2 linked regions of the Elephas maximus indicus genome follow. The protein of the gene in region 2 purifies or fractionates together with the protein of the main gene of each other region. This does not show direct contact. Links are inferred from orthologs where the notes say so. Each region holds a gene or a part of one and is shown on either strand. Other genes may lie near its edges.

Evidence for each region. Proteins that work in one complex are often made in the same cells at the same time.
Region 1: the proteins of MARK2 (region 2) and FUCA1 purify together in Homo sapiens (affinity purification with mass spectrometry; 3 studies listed by BioGRID and IntAct, counting the BioPlex papers as one, with this or other methods). This does not show direct contact. The link is inferred for Elephas maximus indicus from reciprocal best matches to the Homo sapiens genes MARK2 and FUCA1.

The regions. Positions count from the first base shown.
Region 1 is NC_064821.1:64,260,443-64,267,803, reverse strand, and holds the start of FUCA1 (tissue alpha-L-fucosidase), read left to right. Parts: upstream 1-4,273; 5' UTR 4,274-4,349; coding exon 4,350-4,732; intron 4,733-7,361. UniProt on the Homo sapiens protein: Alpha-L-fucosidase is responsible for hydrolyzing the alpha-1,6-linked fucose joined to the reducing-end N-acetylglucosamine of the carbohydrate moieties of glycoproteins.
Region 2 is NC_064825.1:127,036,755-127,043,798, forward strand, and holds the start of MARK2 (serine/threonine-protein kinase MARK2), read left to right. Parts: upstream 1-4,017; 5' UTR 4,018-4,571; coding exon 4,572-4,625; intron 4,626-4,643; exon of another isoform or gene 4,644-7,044. UniProt on the Homo sapiens protein: Serine/threonine-protein kinase. Involved in cell polarity and microtubule dynamics regulation. Phosphorylates CRTC2/TORC2, DCX, HDAC7, KIF13B, MAP2, MAP4 and RAB11FIP2. Phosphorylates the microtubule-associated protein MAPT/TAU.

The sequences.
Region 1 (7,361 bases), on a different chromosome or scaffold from region 2:
GCTTGTTTATCTACTTCAAAAAAATCAGCCATTGAAAACCCAATGGAGCAAAACTTAAAACAAAAATATCCCTGGAGTCTTCTTAAAACTAAACAATAATAATAATAAAAAAAAGATTAGCAAAACTAGTAAAGAATGTCTGCCTTGAGCATTGTGCTCTTTTAAGAACTCTCTATATGGGATCAAAGTGACAACAGCAAGTTGAAAGATTAGATATTCCTATCTAATCTTTAGGGGGCAGTGAGTCTATGTTAATGGGGGAGGAACAACTCAGAAAAGGAGGGTGAGAAGGGCTGCACAACTCAACGAATATAATCAATATCAACAAATTGTACATGTAGAAAGGGCTGAATTAGTGTAGGTATGTTTTCTGTGTGTATTATCAAAAACAACCACAAAATAAATTTTAAAAAAGAAAACCCAATGGAGTAAAGTTCTACTCTGACATACATCGTGTTGGTATAAGCAGAATGGCATTGACGACAAGTGGGTTGGTTTTACTACGTGCCAGGCACTGGGCTGCATGATGATGACAATGATATTGATGCGAAGTCAATATGTACTTAGATTTTGAAGCAACTACTTTGGCTTCTGCATGCTTGATGTTTTTTTTGGTTGGTTCTGTTTTGGTTTTTAATGCCTCGATAGAGATAGAAACAGACTCAAGGTTGTCGTGGTTTTTGAACTCAATGGATACGCACATTTTGACCATAGTCTCAGCAGCCAGTTGGAACAGAAACATACGTCAACAGTGCTAAGATTCTAGTCATCTTAATTTTCATGTTGAATTTGATCGTTAGATATAAATCATCATTTGAGATCAATAACCTGATAAAGAAGGTTGTCATGGATTGAATTATGTCCCCCGCCAAAATGTGTGTATCAGCTTGGTTAGGCCATGATTCCCAGTATTCTATTGTCCTCCATTTTGTGACTGTAATTTTATGTTAAAAAGGATTAGGGTGGGATTATAACACCCCTACCAGGTCACATCCCTGATCCAATGGAAAGGGAGTTTCTCTGGGGTGTGGCCTGTACCACCTTTTATCTTACGAGAGATAAAAGGAAAGAGAAGCAAGCAGAGAGTGGTGAACCTCATACCACCAAGAAAGCAGTTCCAGGAGCATCCCTTGGACCCGGGGTCCCTGCGCAGAGAAGCTCCTAGTCTGGGGGAAGATTGATGAGAAGGCCGACAGAGAGACAAAGCCTTCCTCTGGAGCTGACACCCTGAATTTGGACTTTTAGTCTACTTTACTGTGAGAAAATAAATGTCTCTTTGTTAAAGCCATCCACTTGTGGTATTTCGGTTATAGCAGCATTTAGATGACTAAGACAAAGGTCTTGGTATCTGGATACCTCCTAGAGGCAAAGACACTTGTTCGAGGTCATACCGCGAAAGCGGGGGTTTCCAAACCAGATCTGTTTGACTCCAAAGCCTGCCCTGTTAGCCACTAGCCTGTTAGCCTACTTTAGTCAAATTCTGTTTGAATTATCACTCCTTAGATCATTGCAAAGTTGTTTGCATAATTATATCTCAACATACTTCATTTTATGTCCCCAAGGACAAAGTCTGACCAGGTGTCATAGCCCATATCACAGACTGTGTTAAATTGCAGTCACCAGTTCATCTTCCCCACAAGATGATGAGCTCTGTGTTCCCCTGGGGGTCCCCAGCGCTCAGCTAGGACCCAGCATATGGTCCCGAGGGGTCTGGTCAATAACTTAGAAATGAAATGTTTCTGAAAAGCTCATTGTGAACTGCATTTTGGAAAATCAAATTTTATTTTAACCCAACTCTTCGTAAAGCGAAGAAATGCTGTAATTTTTTTAAATAAATTTGCATGTTCATATGTTGTGATTCCTTAAAGCTGCAGTGTGCCTTTCTTTATTCATTGGTGGGTCTTCTCTCATTTGCACATAAAAGATGCCCAAGTGCCTGGCACATTGATACTCAGTAAATATTTGTCGAAAAAATAAAACTAGATTTAAAAATTCATTAAATTAAATGCTGTCACTTCCCTACTTTCTACCTCTCTCCTTCTGCAGTTATACTCTCTGCTTTAACTAGGGAGCAGAATTTATGCAGAAGGGTGACAGGAGGGAGGAGGAACCCTAAATATCACTGAGAACTGCCCTCATTATTTAGATAAGGAAACAGGGCCCAGATTTGCCCAAGGAGACCCAGCGAGATGGTATCTAGTACGAGAAACCCAGATTTCCTAGCTTCCAGTTCTGTCCACTCTACCACAGTGCCTGTCATCTGCTCCTGCAGATGTACATTTTGGTTATAAGCATAAGGAGAAATGAAGGTCACAGTGTCCCATTTTATCTTCCTCAAGACATGTTTTGCAACATCAAAGACCAATTGCTTATCCTGATCACTGGAAAAAGTGTCTAACTGAGTTTATTTTAAGGTGTCAATGTTTATTGTTTTGGACAATATTTCAACATAATCTTACAGAAGAAGAAACACGGAATAAGAATGTCGTTGTTGTTGCTAAGTACCATCAAGTTGGTTCCAACTTATAGCAATCCTGTGTACAACAGAATGAAACACTGTCTGGTCCTGCACCACCCTCACAACTGCTGCTGTGTTTGAGCCCATTGTTGCAGCCACTGTGTCAATCCATCTCATTGAGGGTCTTCCTCTTTTTCTCTGATCCTCTACTTTACCAAGCATGATGTCCTTCTCCAGGAACTGGTCCCTTCTGATAACATGTTCAAAGTATGTAAGACAGGGTCTCACCATCCTTGCTTCTAAGAAGCATTCTGGGTGTGCTTCTTCCTAGACAGATTTGTTCATTCTTCTGGTAAAAAAAAAAAAAAGTTTTTTTTTTTGAGCCCATGGTATATTCAATATTCTTCATCAACACCATAATTCAAAGACATCAATTTTTCTCCCATCTTCCTTATTCATTGTCCCCCTTTCACATGCATGCGAGGCAATTGAAAATACCATGGCTTGGGTAAGGTACGCCTTAGTCCTCAGGGTGACATCTTTGCTTTTCAACACTTTAAAGAGGTCTTTTGCAGGAGATTTGCCCAATACAATACATCATTTGATTTCATGAATGCTGCTTCAATGGGTATAGATTATGGATCCAAGTAAAATGAAACCCTCAACAGCTTCAATCTTTTCCCCATTCATCATGATGTTGCTTATTGATCTAGTTGTGAGAATTTTTGTTTTCTTTATGTTGAGGTGAAATCCATACTGAAGGCTGTAGTCTTTCATCTTCATCCGTAACTGCTTCAAGTCCTCTTCACTTTCAACAAGAAAGGTAACGTCATCTGTATATCACAGGCTGTTCATGAATCTTCCTTCAATCCTGATGCTGCATTCTTCATATAGTCCAGCTTCTCGGATTATTTGCTCAGCATACAGATTGGGTCAAAATACAAAATAGAAAACAGCTGTTTACTCAGAAACAGTCACTGTCTTTCCTTATTACTCCCAGGATGAGGACGCTCTTGGTTCTGCTAACACAGGTTCTGACCCCCTCTGGGGTTCAAAAGAGAAGCTGTGTGGAGACAGCCATAGATTCTGCATCCAAAGACCTAAGTTCTGGTCCCACCTTTGACTCAAACTAGCTGTGTGATCTTAGGCTACTCCCTTCCTCTCACTGGGCCTCAGTTTCCTCCTCTGTAAAATGGGGGAGATGGGAAAGGGGATGGCTCTGAGGATCTCCGAAGTCCCTTCCAACTCTGTCACACTGCAGTTTTCACTGATATGTGGGACTGATAGTGCCACGTGGGACATCAGAGCAATAGAAACATTTTGGTTAGCAGTCAAGCGCTTAACCATTGCGCCACCAGGGCTCCTTTTCTCTCCCATACCCTCTCATAATGCTTTCTTTCTGCCATCATCCCTCTACTTCAAGTCCTATTTTGTCTGCCAGGACTGTTACAATGCCCTTCCATCTGGTATCCCTGCCTCCAGGCTTGGCCTCGCCATACTACAGCTCAAAAAGCCCCTATGGCTCCCAACTGCCTAGTAACTAAAACCCGAAATCAGACTTCAGCCTGTCTCTGCAGGATTGCTGCAGAAAAATGGACTGCTCCACGGTTTGATCCCGCAGCTAAATCCCTTTTAAAGATTTCCTTCATCCCTCCGCCGAGCGCTCTGAACACCTCCTTGCGTCTTTCCGACTCTGAGCGCCAGAGGGCGCTGCAGGGACCGCCGGCGCTGAGGGAAGAGACTCGGTCGCTCAGGCGTCCGGCGCGACCCGCCCCTTTACTTCCCTCCGAGCCAATCATTAGTCGGAGTGGGCTGAGACCGCGCGCCCCGCACCTGCGCGATAAGAGGGGGCCCCCGGGGAGGCGCGCCGGCCCTGCCGCGTACCCCGAAGATGCGGTCGCGGGCGGTGGGCGCGGCGCTGCTCCTGCTGCTGGCTCTCGGAGCGGCCGAGTCGAGGCACAGAGCCTGGCCACGACGGGGGGCTCATCAGCGCTACACCCCGGACTGGGAAAGTCTGGACGCCCGGCCGCTGCCCGGCTGGTACGACGAGGCCAAGTTCGGGGTGTTTGTGCACTGGGGCGTCTACTCGGTGCCGGCCTGGGGCAGCGAGTGGTTCTGGTGGCACTGGAAGGGCGAGGGGCAGCGCCAGTACGAGCTCTTCATGAAGAAGAACTACCCGCCCGGCTTCAGTTACGCCGACTTCGGGCCGCAGTTCACGGCCACCTTCTTCGAGCCGGACGACTGGGCCGACCTCTTCCGGGCGGCGGGGGCCAGGTGAGCGGTCGCCGGGGCCAGGGGAGCGATCGCGGGGGCCAGGTGAGCGGTCGCCGGGGCCAGGGGAGCGATCGCGGGGGCCAGGGGAGCGGTCGCGGGGGCCAGGGGAGCGGTCGCGGGGGCCAGGGGAGCGATCGCGGGGCCAGGGGAGCGGTCGCGGGGGCCCGGGCCGGCTGGAGCTGCAGGAGGTGGGGTTTGGGGACGTGGACACGGAGCGGAGGGAGGCGAGCCCACACGGATGTGTGCCTGACCCATATACTCAAGTCCTGTGTTTTGCTTCCTGAAGGATGCAGAATTGGGAAGCAAGAGAAGGTGCGTCTTCTTGGGGACTAGAAAATAAAGGTTGCAGGGAGGAAGTGAGCTGGAAAGCCCTCGGTATCTATAGCTTTATCTCGAGAGGATTGAGCAAGGTGATACCGGATGACCCTCCCAGGCTGACAGGACGGTCAGGATTCCAGGATATTAAACCAGTGGTATGGGTTCTACCTCAACTCTGAACCAATCTTCTGGTCCTACCTCAACCTTGGACAAACGGCTTCACCTCCCTGCAGCCCCCTTTGATGGTAGTAGGAAGGAGTTGTCCTAGGTCTTTTCAGCTCGAATATAATAGGATGGAAAGGGAGAGATGGGAATTCTGGAGTGTTTGGGAAACTGTATGGATTACATCTACTCTTCTCGGAGTCTTGTACATAGAATGTGCTCAAGCAGTGTTTGAATTGTGTTGAGGACTACTTGGCACTTGCAGGTGGTTGGTTCAGAGAAGCGCAAGCAGAGTAAAGAACCAAAAGCAGAGCACTGGGGTGGGGGAGAGGGAGACTAGAGCCTTGAGGTTGTTGAAGGCTAGGGCAGTCATGAAGGAGTAAGCCTTGAGGGCAGTGTATTGCAGGTCGTTAAGTTAGGGAGTGGTTCTCTCAACTTCTAGGAAAGCTGGTGGAACAGTGATTAAGCACTCAGCTGCTAACAGGCAGCAGTTTGAAACCACCAGCCAGTCCGCAGGAGAAAGGACCTGGCAATCTGCTCCCATAAAGATTGCTGCTGTTCTTAGGTGCCGTGGAGTCGTTTCTGACTCATAGTGACCCCGTGTCCAACAGAATGAAACACTGCCTGGTCCTGTCCCAACCTCACAGTCATTGCTATGTTTGAGCCCATTGTTGCAGCCACTGTGTCAGTCCATCTCATTGAGGGTCTTCCTCTTTTTCGCTGGCCCTCTCCTTTACCAAGCATGGTGCCCTTCTCCAGGGACTGGTTCCTCCTGATAACATGTCCAAAGTATGTCCTCACTTCTAAGGAGCATTCACGCTGTACTTCTTCCAAGACAGATTTGTTCATTCTTGTGGAGCCCATGGTATGTCCAGTATTCTTCATCAGCAACATAATTCAAATGCATCAATTCTTCTTCCATCTTCCATTGTTCAGCTTTCACGTGCATATAAGGCAATTGAAAATACCAAGGCTTGGGTCAGGTGCACCTTAGTCCCCAAGGTGACATCTTTGATTTTTAACGCTTTAAAGAGGTCTTTTGCAGCAGATTTGCCGAATGCAATGCATCATTTGATTTCTTGACTGCTGCTTCAATGGGTGTTGATTATGCATCCAAGTAAAATGAAATCCTTGACAACAACAAACTTTTTTCCATTTATTATGATGTTGCATATTGGTCCAGCTGTGAGGATTTTTGTTTTCTTTAGGTTGAGCCTCCATACTGAAGGCTGTGGTCTTTGATCTTCCTCAGTAAGTGCTTCCAGTCCTCTTCAGTTTCAGCAAGCAAGGTTGTGTCATCTGCATAATGCAGGTTGTTAATGAGTCTTCCTCCAATCCTGATGCTGTGTTCTTTTTTATGTAGTCCACCTTTTCAAGTTATTTGCTCAGCATACAGACTGAATGAAATCCATTGCCATCAAGTCAATTCTGACTCATAATGACTCCCTCTAGGACAGAGTCCTAGAGGAGTTGTGGAATGACATCAAGGACATCGTACGTGAAGAAAGCAAGAGGTCATTGAAAAGACAGGAAAGAAAGAAAAAAACAAGACGGATGTCAGAGGAGACTCTGAAACTTGCTCTCGAACGTCAAGCAGCTAAAACAAAAGGAAGAATTGATGAGGTAAAAGAACTGAACAGAAGATTTCAAAGGGGCTCTCGAGAAGACAAAGTAAAGTATTATAAAGACATGTGCAGAGAGTTGGAGATGGAAAACCAAAAGGGAAGAACACACTCAGCATTTCTCAAGCTGAAAGAACTGAAGAAAAAATTCAAGCCTTGAGTTGCAATAGTGAAGGATTCTATGGGGAAAATATTAAATGACGCAGGAAGCATCAAAAGAAGATGGAAGGAATACACAGAGTCATTATACCAAAAAGAATTAGTTGATGTTCAACCATTTCAAGAGGTGGCATATGATCAGGAACTGATGGTACTGAAGGAAGAAGTCCAAGCTGCTCTGAAGGCATTGGTGAAAAACAAGGCTCTGGGAATTGATGGACTATCAATTGAGATGTTTCAACAAACAGATGGAGCGCTGGAGGTGCTGACCCGCCTATGCCAAGAAATATGGAAAACAGCTTCCTGGCCAAATGACTAGAAGAGATCCATATCTATGCCTATTCCCAAGACGGGTGATCCAACCAAAT
Region 2 (7,044 bases):
AGAGCTAGAATCCCAGAACTCTTGTGGGCACCGCAGCTGTTCCTGGAGGACTGATCCTATGGCTTGGGCCTGTGGTAGGTGCCTTTACTTTTGTATTTGTTCCGCTAAAAGCTGCTCAGGCTGGAAAACTTGGAATCATCCTCAACTCCTCTCTCTCACGTATCTCAAACCCAACCCATCACAAAGTCCTGTTGGCTCCCCCTTCCAAATAGATCCGAAATTTGACCACTTCTTATTACTTTCATTGCTGCTGCCTGGTCCAAGCCACTGTCACTGCTCACTTGAGTTACTGCAAAACCCTCCTTCCTGGTTCCAGTTTTCTGTTCTTGCCCTGTCCGTCCCTTCATTCTCAATCTAGCAATCGGTGAGAGCATGGCACTCCAGCGGCTGTCTTAGTTATCTAGTGCTGCTGTAAGAGAAATACCACAAGCGGATGGCCTTAACAAAGAGAAGTTCATTCTCTCACAGTCTAGTAGGCTACAAGTCCAAATTTGGGCATCAGCTCCAGGAGAAAGTTTCTCTTTAGCGGTTCTGGAAGAAGGTACTGGTCATCAATCTTCCCTGGTGGAGGAGCTTCTCAGTGCAGGGACCCCAGGTCCGAAGGACACACAATGCTGCCAGTGCTTCTTTCTTGATCATATGAGGTTCCCAACTCTCTGCTCACTTCTCTTTTCTTTCATCTCTTGTAAAATAAAAGCTGATGCAGGCCACACCCCAGGGAATCTCCTTTATTACACTGGATCAGGAATGTGACCTGAGTAAGGGTGTTACATCCCACCCTAATCCTCTTTAACATAACCCAATCTCACCTCATTAACCACAGCAGAGATTAGGATTTACAACACATAGGAAAATTACATCAATCACAAAAATGGAGGACAATCACACAATACTGGGAATCATGGCCTAACCAAGTTGACACATACTTTTAGAGGTCACAATTCAATTCATGACAGGCTCCCATCTCCCTCTGAGGGAAAGCCAAAGCAACGGCCCTCCAGGGCTGGATCCCCATCACCTCTCTGCCTTCATCTCCTACTACTCATCTCCTTGCTCACCTGCCTCCAGTCTTGTTGGCATCTTTGTTCCTCAAACAGGCCAGGTTAGCTCCTGCCCCAGGGCCTTACCACTGACTGTTCTCTCTCCCTGGGATGCTTTTCCTTGAGACTCACTCCCTCACCTCCTTCAAGTCTTCGCTTAAATGTCACCTTCTGAGTGAAGCCTACACTGACCACCTTAGTACTGCAGCCTGTTTGCCACCCCCTGCTTTCCTGATCCCCCTTACCTGGCTCTCTCTCTCCCCTTCCCCGCCATGGCATTTCCATTATGTTTATCACCTGTCTTCCCTTCTATGGGCAGTGTAAAGCTCCCCGTGGGCAGAGAGCTTTCTCTGTTTTGTTAGCTGGTATACTAGAACCGTGCCTTGCACATAGCAGATGTCAATAGAAATTTATTCAGTAAATGAATTAATCTGCAAATTAGAGAGGGGTAAGTGTGGCAATAATTAATCTTTAAGCAAGGCTAGGTGGCCTCGGGGATTTGAGAAGGTGTCATTTGACCTGGATCTTGGAGTGCATCTGGGAGCTGGGGTCAGTGACAGGCAGTCCAGGTGAAGGGATCAGCCTGAACAGGGCAGGAGTAGGGGAGGGGTCAAGCAATCATCCCTAGCTGGAAAGTATATCAGCAAGGTAAGTTGAGGTGAGAGTGTGCAAAGTTTCAAATGCAGGCTAAAGGCTTTATCCTACAGCCAGGACTGGCTACATAATTTGTAGGGTTCAGTGCAAAACGAAAACGCAGGGGGCCCCCTTATTTAAAATGTCAAGATGATGAAAGCATTAAGCCAAGCACAGGGCCCTTCTAAGAGCAGGGCTTTGTGCAACTGCATAAGTCACACGCCCATGAAGCCAGCCTTGTCTCTAGACCACAGGAGACCTTGCGACGACCTTCTAGCAGGGCAGAGATGGGACTGGAGCTGGACTGTAGGAAGATTATTTTGGCATGACTGGTGTGGTAGGTTGGGAGTCAAGGGAGACCACAGGCAGCTCTGAGCTCAGCCAAAGATGGGGTGGGTGGTGGGAAGGGGGAGGGCTGGCAGTCAGAGGGCAGAGGTGAGGCAGGGGTTACAGCTTGAGTGAGTAGAAGCATAGAGGAGGTAAAATTTACTTAGATGAGCATGGGCCAGGGAGAGACCCTGAGTCCCATTTCCTTTGCTCCTCCAATCCCTTCCTTTTCCTGCCCCAGGCCTGAGAGGTGGTATCTGGCACAGCAATCACCATGTGGTCCCTGTCTCCCTTTGGCCACCAGAGGGCAGATTATTCTCATGAATTTTTTGAGGAAATTAGGGTAGGGGGAGTGGGAGGTAACGCTCTCCTTACCTCTTCCTCTTTTTTCCTCACCTCCCTTTGTGCTTCATCATCAACTTCTTCCCCAATGGCTGGGTGCCTGAATGGAGGTAGGGTGGGGTGTGGAGAGGTGTCCAAGAGTCTCTTGCAATTATTAAGACTGTGGGTTGTACCTGTTGCCTTAGGAAGTATTTTTCACACCCCTCCCGTTGCATCTGTTTGGCTGCCTATTTCTCTAACTTATGTGGCCAAGGGCTCTACTCAGATGCTCCACCTGAGAGTTAAAGTCAAATGTCAGAGGCCCAAGCAGCACCTTCTCCATAACCGCTGGAGCCTCCTCTGCTTCTGTACCTTTGAGGATGTATTGCTTGAGTCTGGTCTCTGGCTCCTGTGAAGCTGCTGGCTCCTGCCCACCTTAAGCGGCTGTTGAGCCCCGGGGCATGAGGAGGATGGACAAGTTCCAACATGTCCGGAGTATGATGGGTGGGTGCAGCTTGGAGCCAGAGAAATCAGACCTGTCTACAGCCTCTCCTTGGTGAAAAGGTCCAGGGGGAGGTGAGGAGTGGGCTCGGGTTGCCCACATGGGCTTCCTGTTAAGTCAGGGACTCTCCTAAGCTGGGAGGGTCCTCAGAACTCGTGAATCCCATGACCTCACTTTACTGTTGGGGAAATAGGTCCAGACAAAGAAAGGAACTTCTGGTGCCCATTCTTTGTGCCATCCTGAGGAATTCTCATTTTCAACCAGTTTCTCTTTCCCATGAGTTTTCTCTGTCTTAGATGGGATAACTGAAATGTGCATTAGAATGAGAAAGTCTCTCCTATCCAATCTTGCAGTGACGCTTAAAATGGTAAGTAGAATTCAAAGATATTATTTAGAATGTCAATGCTGGAACAAAGGCATGGATTCTCAGTTTACGGATGTGGGGCCAAGCTCAGAGGTGTTACGTGATTTTCCCAAGATCACACAGCAGTTTCACTCTGCAGAGCTCGGGCTGGGGCTCCTGTTTTCTGAGTGTTCTGCTGGGGGGACCTCCGGATCCCCCCGCAGCTGGGTGCGAAGGACGCTGACCTGGTGTCTGCCCGGGACCATGAGGATCCCTGACTAGTTGTGGGGCTAGGTGGATGGATGGATAAATAGAAGCCAAGACAGGCGGATGGCAGGCAGACAGGTAATAGACTAAGGCTGCATGTGGCAGGTGACACACACGTTGATAGATAGGTTGGATGATAAACGCGAAGATGGATCTTAGGAGCTGACTGACAGAGGGACGAACGGACACGCACACGGGCCAATCGCAGGAACGGCTAACAGCTTTATTTCTTCTACTTAGTCAAATAATCGCGCACGGTTGCCCACGCTCCATGTTCAAGCTTTGAAAATACCGGAAAACTGGCGGAAACAAACGAAGAGACAGACTCTGACCACCCCGGGGGACGACCGGACTTTCGCCCCGCCTCGGGTGTTGCCGGAAATGGGCGACGACCGCCCTCGATTACGGGGCGGGGCGGGGGCGTGGCCGACTCACAGCACGCGGAGGTGCTTCGGGTGTTTCCGAAAACTACCGAGAGCCGGTTTGAAGTGGGCGGGGAAAGGCCGGTGGGCGTGGCTGGATGGCTCTGGAGCGCCTGGAGTTTTTTTCGTGGATTTCCGCAAACAGAGTCGAAACCTGGGCTTCGGAGTCGAAGAGGCGCGCGCGCCCCGGGGCTTACCTTCTTCGGGTGTTTCCGGAACTCACCCGTAGTTCGTGGCTGGGAGGAGGAGGCCCGCCCCCCTCCCGTTCCTGGTCGCTTCGGATGTTTCCGGCTGCTGCCGGCGGAAAGAGCCGAGGGCCGGCGGTGGTGGCGGCCATGTTGGGAGCAGCAGGTCCGGCGGCGGCAGCCTGTGTGCCGGGCGCGGAGCAGTGCCGCTGAGGGCAGGGGAGGAGCGAGGCAGGCGGCCGGCTGCGGCGGCAGAGAGTAGGCGGAGCGGCGCGGCCCGGCCGAAAGGCGGCACAGCCCAGCCGGGGGTCGGGGGGGTGCGGTCCGGAGCCGCTCGGAGCCGGCGCGGCCTAGCCCGAGCGGCGCATCCCCGGGCTGGCGTGAGCGGCTGCCCGGCCTCCCCGCACCCCCGGCCGGGGCCCATGCGGCGGGTGCCCCTGCTGTGAGAAGCCCCGCCCGGCCGGGCTCCGCGCCTTTCCTTCCCTCCCTTCCTCCAAGCTTCTCGGTTCCCTCCCCTGAGATACCGGCGCCATGTCCAGCGCCCGGACCCCCCTACCCACGCTGAACGAGAGGGACACGGAGCAGGTAAGGAGCCCCGAGGGCTCCCCGAATTCTCTGGCTGGGCCCCTGCACCTTACGGAGCCTCCTCCCTCCTCTTCCATCCTGCAAGCTCGGCTGCCCTGTCATCTGGCTTCCGGCCCCGCACATCCCCCTTCCGAGTCCTGTCCTGGGACCCACCTCGTCCTGACTGCAGGCTGCACACTTGTCTTTCTGCCAGCCCCCCTTTCCTCTCACCGCCCTCCTGCGCTCTTCCGTGTCACATCCCCAGCTTCCCTTTCTCTTCCTTTTTTTCTCTCAGGGGCCTTTCTGGTCTTTCTCCACCCACGCTTAAAGCAGCCACCCTCCTGCTCCTCGAATAGCACCCCACGATTTGTCACAGATCTTTGTCCACCCCTTCTTCCATCTCCCTAGTCTGGCTTCCCCTCTGCCCTCACCGGTTCTCCCAGTCCCCGGTTCTCTCCCTCAGGGTCCTTGCCCCGGAGTGTGTTCTGATTCCTATCCCCTTTCAGTTCCCCAGCTTTTTCTACCCTGCTTCTTCCTTCTCCAAACTGTGCACTCCCTCTTGCTTGCAACCCACCAGCTCCACCCTCATCACCTTTCCAAGTCGTTCGCCTACTCTTTGCTCATCACTTTCCCTTCTTTTCTCCTGGAGCGCTCTGTTTCCTGGCGCTGGCATTTGTTGCTTCCGTGTTTCCCATACGGCTGCCATGCGCATAGATTTCCCACAGGTTGTCATCGGCGTTCCAGTTATCACTCTCTTGTGAGTCTTTGGATCCCTCGTGTAACCCTCCCTGGGGTCTGACGTTTCTGCCCCTCTGCCTCCTCTTCCTCACTGGCAGTGTTTTACCAGCCTTCTCCCGGGGCTCTTCCTACTGGCGGAAAGGCACTTGCTATTTCAGTCCCACTGTATTAACACAACCTGTTGCTCAGTCCTTTCCGTCCCTCGCTGCATCACCGGCCTTGCCTTGCGTTGTCATAAACAGCAACGCAAACCATGATGCCTTCCTGTCTCGTCCCTCCTGTTTCTGTCCCTTTTCATAGTATCTTACCCTTTGCTTGTGGCTTTCCTGTTTCACTACTCACTGCATCTTCCTTATTATGCCTCTTAATCAGTATCGCTTTTCATCTCCATGTCAGTCTCTTGCCTTTTTCACATGATATTTATTTTACCCACATGTGGCTCTCTGCATCCCCTTCCTATTGGCTAATCTTTGTAACTCCCAGTCCAGGAACTTTGCATGCTAGTTTCTTGAGCATGCAAGGACCCCTCAGCCTCAGGACCCCACAGGCTTCCCCTCCTGCTGGCAATCACTGCAGTAGATTGTCACCCAAGCCTTAGCCTTTTCTGTGTCATCACATCTCTGAGCTGAGCGGCGTCCACTTTCCACCCCTCCCCTTTCTTTCACCATCTCCGGTTGCCCTTGCTGACTCCTCTGTGGAGAGTCCCCTGCCTGTCACACCCTTCTTGGTGGAGAACTTTTACTAGGCCAAAAACTTGACTAGGGAAAGGAGCTCTGCTCCCTGGGGGCTGCAGTGCTTTTTGCATCCTTTCCACTCATCAGCTTCTTAATGGTTCCCTCTTCTCTTCTTTTTTCATATCCTGATAGAACCACTGTTATGTTCTCTTGCCTGTTAACATCTTCCATGGTTTTCATGCTTTTCCTATTTTGTTACCTACCCCCTCACTCTTGTCAACTGGGTAGTTAAGAACTCAAGAGGAGTTCTGGAGTTACAGAGAGGATTTTTTCCTGCAGTGGTTGACGCTTTTATTACTGATGGATTGGTTGCTTTTGGGGGTGAAATAGGGGCTGAGAAGGAGGGATGGTCGGTTTCTATTTCCTCACTGGGTTTGGCAACATGGGACTGAGGGCTTTGGAAACAGAGGGGCATGGTTCAGATCTCACAGTTTTTCAACCTTCCCCTGCCTGCCAGCCGTTTCTCTCTGCCTCCTGGGAACTATTCTCTCTAGGCCCTCTCTCACAACCTTTGTTTTAGCAGGTTGTCTCTGCTTAACCAGAGAACTTTCCCAGACTGTTGATTATGAGTTGGTAGGAGGAGGCCAAGTGACTGACTGGACTGGCACCCTCAGGCGTGTGGGGAGTGGAGATGGAGTGCCTCCTCTCTCCACAAGGCTGTGGGGCATTGTGTTCAGCAAAGGAGAGTAGCAGACTGCCGCAATGTGGTTTCTTTGTGCTGCATACTAAATGTAAATGTCGTTGCCAGTATTCTTTAAAACAAGAAAAAACATTAGCAGCAGCTCTTCTAGACACAAGGCCAGGGCTGCCAGAAGCGTTGGCTTCCCCTGGAATAGATCATGCCACCAGGTAAGAGCAAGAAACCTCTTGGTGCTGTTGCGATTTTAGTTAAAATTGTCATGGAAACTCAGTCTTGTGGTAAGAAGGCTTCCTGTCTCTCCTCGGCCTTAATGTTATGAAATAAAAAG